Linked DNA regions of Drosophila melanogaster. The protein of the gene in region 1 interacts with the protein of each later gene in a pairwise test. Each region holds a gene or a part of one and is shown in the gene's direction. Other genes may lie near its edges.

What was found.
Region 2: the proteins of CG6836 (region 1) and CG32847 interact in a two-hybrid assay, tested with the Drosophila melanogaster proteins (one large-scale study listed by BioGRID).

What each region holds. Positions count from the first base shown.
Region 1 is NT_037436.4:18,947,023-18,957,229, forward strand, and holds CG6836 (uncharacterized protein), read left to right. Parts: upstream 1-3,606; 5' UTR 3,607-3,692; intron 3,693-6,575; 5' UTR 6,576-6,740; coding exon 6,741-6,864; intron 6,865-7,231; coding exon 7,232-7,644; intron 7,645-7,706; coding exon 7,707-7,837; intron 7,838-7,902; coding exon 7,903-8,093; intron 8,094-8,185; coding exon 8,186-8,313; 3' UTR 8,314-8,384; downstream 8,385-10,207. UniProt on the Drosophila melanogaster protein: Probable transporter.
Region 2 is NT_037436.4:15,118,687-15,124,763, forward strand, and holds CG32847 (uncharacterized protein), read left to right. Parts: upstream 1-2,885; 5' UTR 2,886-2,935; coding exon 2,936-3,430; 3' UTR 3,431-3,615; downstream 3,616-6,077. Other genes in the region: Cep135 (centrosomal protein 135kDa), read left to right, coding at 1-620, 689-899, 962-1,077; CG16959 (uncharacterized protein), read right to left, coding at 1,527-2,263, 2,378-2,721, 3,938-4,368.

The sequences.
Region 1 (10,207 bases):
GAAAGGTCGGGAGGAGCGGTGGCAGCGAGCTAGGAATATAAATATCGATTAGATAATATCAAACTAGATGGCAGGCTGACAAGGACCTTAAGGCGGCATTGAACTTGTCTCGCCGCGAGGGAGAAGGAGCGAGTGTTTCCGGTCTCTTCATCTCCCTCTCGCGCTCTCTCTCTCTCTCTTTCCACACAAACACACTCCAGCAATTGCCTTGCATGATTTAATTATTTGTAGCATACTTTTGTGCGCCGACCAAAAACTTCACACCTGAATGCACAACAAAGTGGGGGGCTCAAGTGGTTCATCGGCCGAGTGGTGCAAAACTTTTGCCACTTTTGCCACTTTTGCATTCAGGGCGCTGCAGAGCACAGAAGTTGTTGTTGAAGGACCTCCGAACCTCTGCGGTTTTCGGCCGGAGGATCCGGGTTTTTCTATGCGAGCCCGAATGTCTCAATTCATTTTACGCCACACTGCGCCCCAAGTGGAGCGCACCATGCAAAAAAGGGCTGCCGATGCGGGTTTCGGGCCACGGGTTGTGGGATACCCCTCAATCTGTAATCTTTATGGGTCTCTCACTAATGTGGTAATCAGGCATCCGTTGGATTGTTACTTAGTATATTAATAATCTTCATTAATTATTTACAACAAGTTGCAAGCAAGTTTGTATCTGTTGGATGCAGTGCTACTAACTACCAGCGTATTCAAATGATTTCCAATCACTGGGTATCCCCAATTCGACATATTCAACTTGGGTGTAAATTCTTGATCTGAATGGGTTTCGGGTCTGCCATTTGAGACGAAGAATAAAACAAAACAGAATTTGTGGAAGGGCGGCAGCAAAAGTGCAAGCAACGCAGAAAAGGACTTTGGCATCATTACAATTTGTTGATTTGCTTCGTTAAACAGCAAACAACACTGGCGAAAAGCGGGGGAGCGAAGGTGCGGACTGAAATTGAAACAACAGCGACAGTTGAATGAATCAGGGAGCATAAAGACCCGAGAAATTAACGCCAAGTCAGCCCCAAGCATCGCTCCTCATCTCGCCATCAAAGTCTTTTTGTGTTATTCAAATGGCGGCTGCATTGTTGCTTATTTGCGAAAAAGCAGCGCGAAAAAATGAGCAAAATAAGAAAATATAAGAAAATCCCAAAGGCGGCAAATAAACAGTGGCGAGAAAATGAAAACCGACAAGAAAAAGTTGCCGAGGCGCTGAATTGGCGACGTCTTCTTCAAAGGCGTCGCCTCGGGCCCCCGAATTTTATCTTTTCTTTAAAGCGCGAGCACAGTTTGCCTTTCCGCTGGCCCCACTTCTTCAAAAGGACATTCGGACGTGAAGGAGGCTGGGAGCCAAAAGGCGCTCCCTTGCTGAAGGTTGCAGGTAAGAAATGGTAGCAAGAAATCATCGCTGACAGCAAATAAGGAGTTCGGTGCGGGTTACCATGGGGTGTTCTTGGAAATTCATGAGACAGCGGTGAGATCTGTTTTACATATGCATCGTTTTCTTGGAAAGATAGACCATAAAAATGCATAGATTTTTTATAATCTGAATTTCGATTTCTCGCATGTACTAAAAGTCAAATTTAACTATAGATAACTTAAGCTTTTTTTGTTTAACGAAAAATTTCTTAAAGGTAGTATCTTTTCAACATCGAATATATGAATAGGTTTAATATTTCTATCTACATCGTATAATGAACTAACTTAACTTGCATTAAGTAAATGCAATGTTTATGCTTATATAAAGGTGGAAATTCAAAATATTTTTATTTTCGATATTATAAGAATTATATTATTAAATATTAATTAAATAATTATGTAAAGTAAATATATATATAGAAAAAAAGTGGATATTTTCTGAAATCTGTAAACTATGAGTATAAACTTGAAAGTGCATTTTGTTAAATAGAGCCCTTCATTTTTCATTAAAAATGTATATCCAGTCTTTTTACCTTCTGAATTTTTTTTGCAGGCATTTAATACTGGCCGACGTGAACACAAAATTAATTTTTCTTTGTTTACGGACACAACTTTCAAGCGTTTACATTAAACCAGTTTGCAAAAACTTTGCCTCTACCAAATGCCCCCTGTTTTCCCGTCTTTTTTCAAACTGACCATTCTCCACATTTCCCTTTCGATCTCCTGCCCTAATTGGCCTTATCACTTCTGACCCTCTTTACAAAATTAGATTTATTTGCAAATTATAAGTTGAATTGCAGCGGTCTGCCATCATAATATCTTTTTATGAGCCACCGCCGCAGAGTCTGCTATAAAAACGAACAAACTTGGCATTTTGCAGTTGCGGCATAATTAATTGCATAATTTTTGGGTTGAATAATTAGCATTTAATTTCAGATTGGTTACGTTAAGTGTGCGAGCGCAGAGAGACAGTAAAAAAGGTTAATTGGGCCGCTCATTAAATTAGTAAGCGGATGTGCCTTAGATTTACGTTTTTTGATACGTGCCTAACCCCGCCGCGGGCTGAGTTTTGGACTCGAAGTCCACTCGACTCGATGGCATTTCTAATGAGTTTAATTTGAATATCAAATTGTTTGGGGAAATTATGTTTCCCCGCCGGCTTCGATTAATATAATCGCACCCTGCATTTTTCGCTCGGGGGCGTGCAAATTAATAGCTGATTGAAGCGCCGCCATTATATACATTGTATATCGCGGTATTTATATTCCGCGACTTCAATTCCCTGAGGTCAATATCGAACACTGGAATAAGTAATTATCACCTGGTTGGACATGTTAATTGGCTTTTGGCGTGAAATCCATAAGTTCTGGACTTCTCATAAAGCTGATGGCACTTTCCTATACAAATTATCTTTCAACTTGAGTGCCCAGCGATGGCGATAAAAATTGGGTTGGCCGCACCGGAAGATAGGAGTGCAATTTTCTCAATTGCACAGTGGTCTTCAGGGCATAAAAAAAGTTAATTAAATAAAAAGAAAAATATATTCAGAGCTGATACCATAATTTATACCATTGCGAAGATCACTGCGCAATTTATGTTGAGTATTTGGAATATATATATTAGCGGTGTATATTGTATATATATAGAAAAATATATGCTTTGGGGATTATAACATTACCAATTTATATAAACTTTTATGACGTATCCAAACAAAATTGTAGTGTTTTGTAATATTGATGATCCACCCATTTCTTACCTGGTACTTTAACCTTAATGTATGTTTTTAGTTTACCCAATTGCGTGATCAAATTTTCACTCTCGATCATCAAGATATCTTTTCATTTCGCAATGGCTTACCGACGTGTTAGCAGGACCAGCCTCTTTTCGAGCTTCACTTCGGCTGTCCAAAGTAAACGCTTTTTGATCGGCAAATAGCCAACTTCCGCAGCGAGCGAGTGTTAAGAAAACTTTTCCCAGCAGCAGCGGCGTTTGCAATCGACAAATGTCGATTAGCACATCGCGTCAGCAGGTGTGTGCAGGTATTGTGGCTATTGCTACCGCTATTCTCTGTTTTGGCCCAAACGCACACACACAGCGGCTTATAGCCACTTGGCCAGCATTATAGTCAGTGGTCTGTGATGGGCGCATTCGCGTTCGTGATCAGCATGGGCACTACAATATTTTCAGTTTCATTTCAGTTGGTGAACAGCGTGCGAGCGAATAAGACACACGCGGCTAAAAAATTGCTTGAAAAGCTGAGAAAACAGGGAGTGTGAAGTGTAAGCAGCAAATAAAAATAGAGAAAAGTGCAAAATTAAACAAAATTCATTCAACCAATTGCAGTGCAAAGTATTTTTGTCGTTTATTGATTCGTAGCTCAACTCGTGATCCAACGCTAATATTCATTACGATACATTCGTGTGAACATGTAAAGAATAATTACTCTTCATTCGTTGACGGCGAGCAATCAATATGAATTAAAGACAACTCGAATTGCATCCGAGTGTAATTGAAATTCTTTAAACAATTCATTAAAGTGCAATGCCAAGGGCAAACGTAAAGTGCTGTGGTGATGGTCAAGGTTGCAGCCAAGAAAAGCTGATATCTGCTGCATCTCCTACAAACCAATTCAAACGAATAACAAATATTTGTCTTCTCCGTTGAGATAATAACTTAAACAGAAGCTGTGTACTTCCGCAAACGATTCTGCGAATTTACAAAATGTTTTTGCTTTAGCTTCATTCATGTCGAAAATATGTGACAATTGGGAGCTGAAGCATCTTATCAGACAAGTCAATTAATTACGTTTTTATCTAGATAGCTGTCATTCCTGAATGTCTTCACTTGACACATTCCCTAATGAACAGCTGATATCTTGAGTAAGCGTAGATAGGTGAATTCCTTGCATCTTCAACTCACTTTGTGCAAATTCCTCTTGCGAATTTCAGGAGGAAATCATTTGCTATGTCGACCAGAAAGCAAATTACATTTTGAGGTCTGCGTTCTGATTTTGATTTTGTCCCACAAAAATGCACTCGCATTTGCATTCGATTTTCGGTTTTATTTTGGTTTTTCAAACGTTTTCCGCTCTGCTCAATTTGTTTGCATTGCGTAAGGTCGTGTAGTTTCCCATACACTCTGACAGCACTTTGTCTCGCCAAGAAATTCGAATTTTGTTAGCCGCAAAAGCTCGGAAACATCTTGGCCAAGAGTCAGGGCCGGCCAATAGATGACAGTCAGCAAAAAAGCTGTGGGCATAAATGTGAATGAAAAAGAAATACAAAATGCCTCATTTAACAATGGTCCCACAAAAAAAAAAGTGTTGCAACATCGAAATGCAAAGCCTGGCTTGTTTTTGGCCAATGTTTACAATTCATTTCGAACATTTTGTGTAACACTGTTTTTATACCCAAAAATTGAAACATAAATAAATATTTTCTTAATGAAATTTATTTATTCTTAAATGTAACGAAAAAATTTCTATTTGCACAACTGACACTGACAATTTTTTCTCTTTACCCAAATTTGTAGCCAATTTCACAAGAGTAACATGATATTTTATGACGTTTGTTACGTTAGCACGTTTTCAAAATAGAGCTGAAATATTTTTTGTATTTGCAAAATTTAATTTGTTGTTAATGGCGTGCCAAGCCCATTTGCGATCTGTTAAAAAAAAACCACCCAAAAGTGCATATATACACCTACTATGTGCTTATACACGAATACAAATTATATATATGACGCTTATTTGCGCGATTTGTTTTACGCACCTTAGAATGTGCTAAATTCAAAAAGATTCGGCGAATGCTAATTTTTTGGTAAATGATTTATGGCTGGCTTGTAAATTGATTATGGATTTGCTCTCTTTTCGCCAGCTGATGAAATTGGATCGTCTGATTCCGGATTGTGATCACTGGCGATAAGCCGTGATTCTTCTCCATTTCCCCATCTCCGGATTACGTTGAATCGGATATAAATTGGGGTCAGATGGCGGGGACTTTGACACGTTTTTGGAGCAGATCTGAAGGCCGTTGCTGGTGCTACGAGATGTTGAATCATGTTTCAGTGTGTTTACGGGTACTTTCAACACGTAGTATGCGGCTATTACTGTGCAAAAATATGAAACCAGTTTGTAAATGGACAATAACACAGAGATTACATAATGGGCTGTGCAATGAGGCAACTCGTATAATTTGCTTTAGTATGGCCGGTCTGTTACCTGCCTACTGTCTGCTTTCGAAAACCAGTTCCTCACATGGATTTGGATTTGGTTGAGGGGAGTCGGGTCTTCTTTGGGCTTCAAAAAACTGACTGGACTCCATGGAATCGCCTCAGGCTTCGGTCACGTGCTCGTCTCCTCAGACTTGCCGATGTTTAAATGCTCTTTTATGTGCCGACTGAATGGCCAGTTGTTTTGAAATTTTTAATTGTTTTGTTTATAGTTGCATGGACGTTAAAACACTTGAAGCTAATAAGTGCAAAAAAAAGTTGGGGGAGTTGTACTATATTTCGGTATTGTAGTCATTTTCTTATTAAGGTGACCTAATAATCTGTATATATTCAGAGAAGTTTAAATTTATTTGCAGAGAATGCTTCATGCAAAATTAAATGAATTTTTTTCTAAGATATAAAGACGGAAAAATATTTTGGGATGATGATAGCCAAATTCATTTAATGAGGCTATAATTGAAAATTCTTTTGTCATGTCTACTGGGGGCTTTTATCTTGATTGATATAAAATATTATTATTTTTTTGTCACGTGACATATAAAATCCAGTGGAACTCGATTTTTATAGGTGCTTTTGAACCTTACAAGGTTACTTAAGCTTTGCAATAAAGGTTCATGAAATTATCGAAAAGTGAAAAGGCTTCGGAAAAGATGTGTCATCGTTCATATTTTTTCCATTAATTAGTTGTTGAAGCGAACTCCTGGCGATCGTGTCTAAGGGTATTAACACTTCGTCTAGACTTTTGGTTAGCAATAATCAGAAATGAAATAATATTCACATTTTATTTATTACTTCAAACAAGCCGCGTCAAATTTTAACTAGTAAGGTTCAATGCCTTCATTTGGAATCAAATCAGTTACTAACCAAAAAATACTGTTCACACTTTCACCTGAGTAGGAGAATAACCAATATCTCTATGTTTCCCCATGTAGATACATGTATGAGTGCTAATGAGGTGCAAAGTCTGCTAAGTGGCAAATTGTGAACTATGATAAAGATGTGAAGTGAAGTGCTGCAGCGTAAGCGAAGGAAACCAGGAAGTATTGCACCAACTTGCCCCAGTTTGAATTTATCACCTTAAGTATAAAAGCCGCACAATGAATGCCAGTGAGAACTATTTCACGATGGACCCCACAGAGAATATATCCCAGGTCTTAGACCAGAACAGAAACAACACAAATAGCCTGCGAACACATCCCACTGTGGAAGAGTATTATGAGAGTGAGTATATTAAAAATATATTAAAATATAAAGAAAATATAGTTATAACTTAAAAACACCAATTAAGACGTTATCTAATTTTGTTGTATATATAGCATATTAATAAAGATTAATGTGTCTTATATATTATCTACAACAATGTTCTTCCATTAAAATATTTTATTTACAAGTTTACGCCTATATGGGTATATGCAACCCCAGGTTGATACAGTCAAGATAAAAGTTCTATTGACAAAATTAAGGTTTATTCTGGTAACTGCTTCTGGTAAAAGCTTCTCATTGAAGCGTGTGTTTAATAATACTAAAATGTTACATAAGCCCCACACCCTTCTTCCAACTAATTGGATTTCTGGGAACTCACTTACAGACATGACCGCCTTCCTCAGCCTGGCCATCTTCATAGCCAGCCTGCTGACCATCCTCAACATCAGCATCTTCGCAACGACAGTCTCTCGGCTGCGTCGTCACCTGGACAAGCCGCTGCTGGGTCCCTCGATTATGATGGTGGGCCTGTATCCGATTATCTCGGTGGCTGCCCTGGTTACCATTCTGGTGCCGTACTCCTGGTTCATCTGCCATACGGTGATGCACGTTATGTTTATGGTCGGCGGACCTGTCTTCCGCACCCTGCTCTTTCGTTACGTGGGCTCGGAGCAGAATTACGTGAAGGAGACGGCCGGCGAGGCGGTGCAACTAAATACTCCTCCGTGCTGTTGCTGCTGCCTCTGCCTGCCGATGGTGATTCCCACCAAGGCGAAACTCTGCATCTCCAGATACATGGTATGTCCCAGAAATCGGATTTGCAAGGAAATATTATACTAAAAAAGGACTCACTTTCGCAGGTATGGCAAATGCCCTTCTGGCAGGGCTCCATTATGCTGGTGATGAACATCCTATACTACCGGGACATTCAGCTCTACCGGCAGGTCATGTTCTTCTTCATCCCCTTCATCGTCTGCTCCATTGTCTTGGGGTAAATATTTGATTCGTTTTTATTATTATTATAAACATACGAGCTAAGTGTTTGTTCACTAATAGCGCTTGGTCCCTCCAAATCACTGTGCGGATGATCACGAAGGTGCGCGGGGACTATCAGCTGAGAAAGAAGATGTTCTGCCTCCAACTGGTGGTGATGCTTTGCAAACTGCAGTACCTGGTACTCTATGATCAGCTGGACGGCATCAAAATGGGTGGGGAGTATCCCATTAATCACACCGTCTACAAGCAAAGTGAGTATCTTACTTCAAAGTAATTTAGATCCATCTTAATTTACTTTCTTAATAATAATATTGTTTCAACATTTCTTAACATTTTTTTACAGCTATCATCAACATCCTTATCCTGGTTGAAATGGTTCTCGTATCCATGATGGTTCAAAGTGCATATCGTACTCCCGTTCAGGTGCAAATCGATGAGGTTAACAAGGAAAAGGAAGTTACTCGCATTTGAGTGTGCCTATGAATGTTTAAGCTTGTAGGAAATAGTAAAATTGTGATAAATTTAATAAAATCATGTTAGCTAAATTTATTTTATATTTTGAACTTTCAACTGCAGTGTTCTTCAAGTAATTTCAAAAGATCACAAAATGAAGTGTTGCCTGTAAATCAAACTTAAAGGCCAAAACCATTGCGACTAAATCTCACTTGACTGGCTGGCTGGCTTAACAAAACCGCCACAAATCATGTGTTTCCAACTCGACTTGGTCAGTTCTTCAACTGGAAGCACCACAGCCACCCACTTTGGCACCACCCACGCCATCTGAAATGCGTGTCGCGTTTAGCTCATAATTCTCCCTGCGGCCTTGCGAGGGTCGAGATCCGTTTTACATTTTTCACCAGGACAAACAAAACGCTGGGCGACTTGGGCCAAATGCCCAAGTGCCATAAAAACACAATAAATATAATATGAAATATCTGAACGCATATACATCTTCCTTTCTGCTTAGATAGTCTTTTCGGATAACTCAATTGCTGTCGCAACGCGACCATAGGCCATCCAAGCTTGAAAACGCTCACTGCGAGATAGCGGGAAAATCCGTTCGTTGGGCAAAAATTATTGGTGGGCGTGGCGAAATCTGGAGCGGGAGCCACATCAAGAACAATTGTGTACTGCACGGCAATGCGTTGAAATTTATGATTTATTTGAAAAGAAAGTACATTGTGCTCTGCGCAAATAAATCACACTAAAGATCCTGCCGCCCCAGAAACCAAACAAAGTGGGAGGGAAAACCAGCATCAGGCAATTTTCGTTGTGGGAGGTGGACCAAGACCGTCGGGCAATGGAAATCAAATAAAAATCTGGGGGAGAAATATATCCAAACATACCGTATAAAATGATTTTCGGATTCGGGATATTATTTGTTCTAAATAATAAGCTTGTGTACTAGCCTTGGATTAAAAAACGCAACGCAATTTAAAAATCTAGTTTTGAATCGCCTACAATAATTAATTCTCAATTGAAGAAAAACTTATGGATTTATTAAATAATAAAACAGAAAAGTTAATATTGTTGTGCTACGGTATACGTAACGGTAAATAAATAATAAAATTAATATTTCTTATTGGTTGTGGAAATGGTAACCGAATAAATGGTAATATAGCTTCTTTAATTTTAAATTTGTATATAAACTTTTTGATTCCAAATCCTGTAAGCTAGTGCCGCCAGTCTAGGATATAAGGGGTATCAAGAGCCTGTAGCAGGATGGCGAAGGAAAAGTTGGACTGCCAGTGCTTGGAGGCGGCAAGTGCCACGGTGGGTTGTCGCTGGACATGGTTATCTTATCGCTGTTTTATGATGTACACAACGCCGCAGAACGCCAGCTATGAGCAGCCCATGGCAGCCAAAGTCCTGGGACACTTCTCCCCCGACACTCCGGTCCGCCCATCCTCTGGTTCCATCCACAGAAATCCACTCTTGGCCCGGTCGAAATGTCGTTCTTTTTATGAAGACGCTTGTTTGCTCGGCTTGCCAGCCGAGACGGCTGTCATCCTGGTGGCTCTGACTTGACTGAGGCAAGTAAATCAGATTAAGTATCCGCTGCTCATTTTGATGAGTTCATTGCGGACTTTTGATTTTATATTATTCCCTTTTTCCAGCATGTGCGAAGTGAAAACTGGTTACGAACAAGAAATGAAATGCTAAAGATGCGGCAGAAGCTAAAGCCAGCAAATTAGGTAGAGGTTTAAAATTTTTAAGAACTCATACCTAAACTTGAAATTGAACATTGAACAGAAATTGCTAAATAATTATGCGTTTTCTTGTAGAGCTTCAGCCATAAAGTAGGCAACCAAAATCTAATGAAACCGAAGACTGCCATCTTGATTTTGGCCCAAGCAACTCAAAT
Region 2 (6,077 bases), 3.8 Mb from region 1:
CATTCCAACGTCACCCTGGATGAAGAGAAAATACGCCTGTCATCAGAGCGGGACTTCTTCCAGAAGGAGTATCTGCGTCTGATGAGCAAGACCGGATCCGAGTCGGAGATCGCCTTCTTGCATGCCCAAATTAAATCTAAGGACGAGGAGTTAAAGGCCCTGCGATCTGAACTGTTTCATGGAGGAAAGCAGCAATTTTCCCCACAAAAAAGTGTGCAGTATGAGACACTGCCGCCCCCCACAGCTTCATCCATTACCTCCACCGTTACTAGCAATACGAGTGACTGCGTCCAGGCGGCCATTGCAAGGGTGGAGCGGGAACGGGATTGCGCCAGGACCGAGCTAGAAAGGGTTCGTTGCGAGCGGGATACGCTGAGGGAGAAGCAACTGAGCACTGTTCAACTTCATGCCGATGAGCTACAGGCTCTGCGCCTGCGAAACGAAGAGCTTAACGATCGCCTGCGGCAAATGGAACGCGATAATCGGGAACTTAACTCGGCTCGTCTGCCAACTGAAACGAATCTGGTGCTGCTTAAGGAGGACTTGTTGCAAATGAGGCAGCGTGTGGCATCTATGCAAACCGAAATTGACCAACTAAAGACCGAAAATGATCAAATAACGTTAGTAACAATGGAATTGCTGCTAAGCTTTCATATCGTTTATAAATTTGTTATTTATTTATTGGCAGCATGCTCAACGATCAAAACGAGCGCATCATAGCGGATTATCAGAGTAAACTTTTGGTGGCCGAGCGTCAACGACAGTCGGCGGATGTTCGGGCCAGCACCTTGGACTCCAGTCGGGAATCCAATCGCAGCGAGGTTACCCAACTCCGCATGGACTTAGGAGCTCTGCGGCAGACCTATATATCGTTAGAACACGAGAAGGATACGCTTCTGGTAACTTCATTTAATAATATATTTTCTAGAGATATTAACAATATTGTTATTTGCTTCACTAGCATCAATTGGATACCAAAACTGAGCGGGTATACAAACTGGAGTATGAGCTAAAGGATTGCAAAGAAAAACGGAATGCCCTAGAGCAGAATGTGAAGGACCTGGAGGATCAATTGCGGTAAGTGTGAGAATTGTTTAGTTTGTGCTTCAGAACCCGATACCAAAGAGTTTCAGAATAATTGACCTATTTACAACTCAATTTTTCTGCTAAAATGAAAAATATGTTATATTTCATTTCTAGACTCTATATTGTTAGTCTTTCAAATTCTTTTATTTCCCTTATCGTGATTTTCCTTAAATACAACTCGTACATTAGTCGATGTAATACATTAATGGCACTGTCTCATCCTATCGAACACGTTAACCGAATATTTCTAAAAACCACCTAAAAGAGAACAAAATGGTTAATTGAATAACAAATGATCGCATCGATCAATAAACACTGAGCATGCAAACACAAAAACAAAGGGTAATGGAGGTAATATAGGGTAAATTAGGTGGGCATGCGGTGAAAGAAGAATAAAAGTCATCACAACCGGACAGAAAATAGCTTGAAGATTGGGGATTTTAGGTGGTCCCACCAAGGTGCAGATCATTGAGAAACTTCGAGTTGAGTCGCTCGTTGGTTAAATACCTCGCCAGGCTGACACTTGGAGCGCTGCAGTTGCTCATGCCGCGTTGATCCGACTCCGAGGGCGTATAACCCGGTCGGCAGACGCACTTGGCCCGACTGGCGTGGACCAAAATTGAGGTGCCATTCGTGGTTTGCGATTTCAGTGGCTCTAGCCACTGACCCGCGCCGCAGGGTCCTCGGCTATACAGCTTGTGGCACTGCCCATTGATCTCCACCATTCCGGGCGTGGACTCGCATATATTCTGTTCCTTATCCGCTCCATCTCCCGTGCACTGCTGATCCAGATTGGTGAGGACACCGGAACAACCGCACATTCCATTGTAGGAGATGCCATCGATGGATGGCCTGGCGGTGAAGTCGAAGATCACCACCTGATGTAGGGCACACGGGCCTTGAGATCCAATCCTGTAGCAAGAATCTTCCGCTGGGAAGTACAGGCGATTCTTGCCACAGAAGTTGCGCACACAGCTGGTTCCGTTGACCAGGAACTCATTGGGTCCACAGGGACCCCTTGTGTACAGGCGATAGCAGATGCCATCGCTCCAGGGCACATAGCCCTCCTTGCACTGGCACTGGGCACGAGGCAAAAGCTGCAGGGTGCTGCCCGTTGTCTCCTGGACCTCGTCGGGTATGCGAAAGATGTGACCAGGTGGACAGGGGCCAGGAGTGTCTGAAAAATAGGAGAACATTAAATACGATATAGGAGAAAATTATGTTGAGATAGAATTTCAACATTTCCAAGGCGGTAATTGCAAATTAACGGGCTATGTAATCCCAATCCTACCCAGCTCATAGCACATTTGATGCGGAGCATGATAGTGCGGCAAGTGCCGCTGGCAGTCGCATCGACCGCCGGGCAAGAAGATGTGACCCGGCGTCGAGCAGGGTCCTTTGGTGTAGTGCTCATAGCAAGACTCCTCTGCCGGATAGTAGAACGAGGCCAAGTCGCCCACATCCTCGCAACGGCACTCGGCCAGTCCCTCCTCGTTGCGAACGAGGAGTTTACCCCGGCTGCATGGACCCTTTGCATGCCTCGCATAGCACTTGTTGTCCCTCGGCCAGAAGAGCATGTCCTCCGGGCAATGCAGCGGTCGCTTGCACGTACCCCAACGGTTGCCGGTTGCGGTTCTGGAAAGGATTTGCCTATAGTTTAGTTAACTTTTAAACATTTAATTGATATATACGGCACACATCATCCTATATCAATGATCGCCTTGAAGTGAGAAAGTCTGATAGATAATTGTTGATATCACATGAACTGTTAAGATTACTTCATTTTATTTTGAGAAGACATTAGACTTAAACAAAATTACCTGCGCTAGAAACACACACATCGGAAACAATGTCGGCTGATACTTTCGTAATGGACACCAAGGATGAATCGTTCTACGAGTGTAACATATGTCTAGACACCGCCCAGAATGCCGTGGTCAGCATGTGTGGCCATTTGTTTTGCTGGCCATGTCTGTACCAATGGATATTGACGAAACCCGATCACACAGTGTGTCCCGTTTGCAAGTCGGGCGTGGATAGGAGCAAAGTAATACCGGTGTACGCACGAAATGATAAAAGGCAGGAGGATCCGCGGGATAAAACACCGCCGCGTCCAACTGGAATTTGGTCGGATTACGCAAATGATCTCGAGTTGGGACTATTTTCGTACTTGCTTTTTGGTTTATTCTTTCCATATGGTGCCCTATCATCTTATCTGGATATGGACGAGCCACTCAATCCTGCTGCTGATCACGGCATAAGGGATGGGCAGAACGAAACACTCCTTTCTAAGTTCTTTCTCTACGTGGCCATTATGCTCATTATTTATATGATTGTAATTTAGCAAGAATAGGAATAAGATCAAAATAAACCATGATGGTGCAAATGAATCAGTATAACCGGGAAGATGTCGTCCTTTACAAATTATGTTCAGTGAAGTTTTCGGATAATTAGTCATTAATCTTTTTAGTATTGTGTAGCATTATGTAAAACAAATGTAATGAAAAGTAAATATTCAAATGCACTAGGAAACAAAACTGCATTTCATGTTTTAAACACGACAGGTTGTGTCGTAAAAGTAAAAACTGTATGTGAATGTACATACATAGGTTCTTGATGAACTTTCGTTATGCATAAAAACGAGATATCAAAGTAGAATGCTTCCGTTATTGCTTAAGTGCACCAGAACTTTCTCTTAACTCTTGATTAATGTTGAAACCCGAGTTTCGCAATCGAAATCAAAAGTTTCATACGACTAGAGAACAACCTGTAAACCTTCAGTGAAGTGAAAATGCGAACATGGCAGTTGCTTAATTCAAATAGTTTGAGCTAAGAACCGAACTCAACTCACCTCTTGACCTGATCCGGCACGGGTTGGAAGTACTCCTCGGGTTGGCAGGGTCCCCGTTCGTATAGCTTGTAGCACACATTATCGTGAAGCGGACTGAGTGCAGTTCCCGGAGGGCAGCGGCACTCGGCTGCAGGTGCATCCTTACGCTTGGCACTCACTGCGGTGGGACTGAGCTCCATGGTGGCCGGACATGGATAGCCGAGGGTGAAGATCTTGAAGCACTTCTTCAGAGGTGCCCAGTACAGCAGCTGCCAGCCACCGGACATGCTGGCGCACGGATTCTGTGCGGGATCACTCCACGGAGGCGGCACTATTCCGGCTGCCACCTGCTGCGGATTCTGGCCGGTGGTCAGTAGGAGGAGCAGGCAGGTGAGGATGGAGCTGCCCGCCTGCAGAGCAGCCCAGCAGATGAGCACTTTGCGACGCCTCATGGTGAATCTGAAAATCGAAAGTGTTTGATAAGTAAACCTATCCACACATCTAATCAAGAAATAATTACAATGGAGTTTCAGAAAGCTACATTTTATAGGATTTCTAGGATGCTAAACACCATATATCAGAATTCAAAGAGCTTTATGAAAGTGTCAACAAATCATAATATCGTATTGTGCTGGACCATTATTAATCGATTTGTATAATCAATAGGTTTCGGCATTTTTGAGGTTCATTTATAACGAATCGTTTGCGTGAAAATTAACCCTTGACGTTTCGTACTGAAATGGCAAATAACTTGAATTTAAGTCATTAAATTAAATTAAATTCGAGCTAGAGTAGACTTCCCCCTGCTCTTTTCAAGAAATCGGGGGTGGAAGCTACCATTAAACCTGATGATGGATGACTTTTCCATTGTGTCCGCTGCTGTTTAAAAATCAATTCATCGCTGCACCGGCGGAGAGTTTTAAAGCGGGTCCAATTCGAATTAGCCAACCCTTTGGGGCAACTGATTATCATGTTGGCCGGACCGCAGCGCAAAAAAAAAAAAAGAAAAAAAATTGAAAACTAAAAGGCCAAAAACCCAAAACACTGAAAACCAGTAAACGGTTCGCGCGCGGTTAACCATGACCCAAATACCCATTTATCTTGACTTCTTTTCGCCTCAGCTGCCGACCGCTGGTCAGAAATCTTCTGCTATTTTCCAACTGCTGGCTAGCCGCCCATCTTATGTAACCGGCCGCAAGATGATGAAACATGTGGCAGCCACAAACAGCCAGCGAAGCGATCAACACACCGCCGCCGCCGCCGGACACGAAAGGTGCCACACTTGGGCGGTACGAATTGCGTGATTTGCGGCCCGTTTTTGGATCGCTCTGCTAACCCGGCGGTTGCATTGGCAACTGGTTTTTCATCTACGTCAGCGTTTCATTCTGGCTAACTGGGGATTCTCCGGCCCATTTACTCCACTCGAATTGGCACCTTTCGCAAGCTTGTTGTTAACACACAGAAACTGGATTTAATGTGATCACCTTTATACAAATCAATTAAGCCGCTTCAGGTGTTTCACCTTTTGCATTCGCTGATCTGGTTCCCTTGTTCAATTTATAGTGTGTTTATGATTTATCCCATTATGTTGTTAAATATTCTTGGCATTTGTTTGAATACTTTCATCTTCTGTGCACACACTAACTGGATTTTCTTTGTTCAACGCGTCTAAGCGTATTTATTTAAATATTAGTTGGTTTGTTATGTGTATTTTCTGTTTATCTGGAAGTTTATAAAATGATTTCTTAACTAACATTTATAACATTTATGAGATCACGCAACTTGCTTGTTAGCTTACTAACTTGATTTATGGAGGGTTGCGTTATAAACCTAATTAAGAAAATTAATGGGCTCATAATTGCAAGTGAAACCCTTATCAATTATGACCCAAAATTGCAGTATACATTTGTTCGGTGCCTTTTAGGCTTTTTATACACTTTTTTGTGGGCTTATATTGCCCTGCTTTTTCGGTTTCTATTGTTGGGTCCATTTGTTAATTTTTTATAATCTTGCACAAATTGTCAAATATATTTTCATAGCAGCTACACCTTTTTTGGGCTCTTCACCTTGCTTTTTTCAATTAATTTACCAATATAGTTCAGTTTGTTGATCCTTATAGACTAATATAGCTAAACAGCAAAAAATGTAGAGTAGAAAAAAA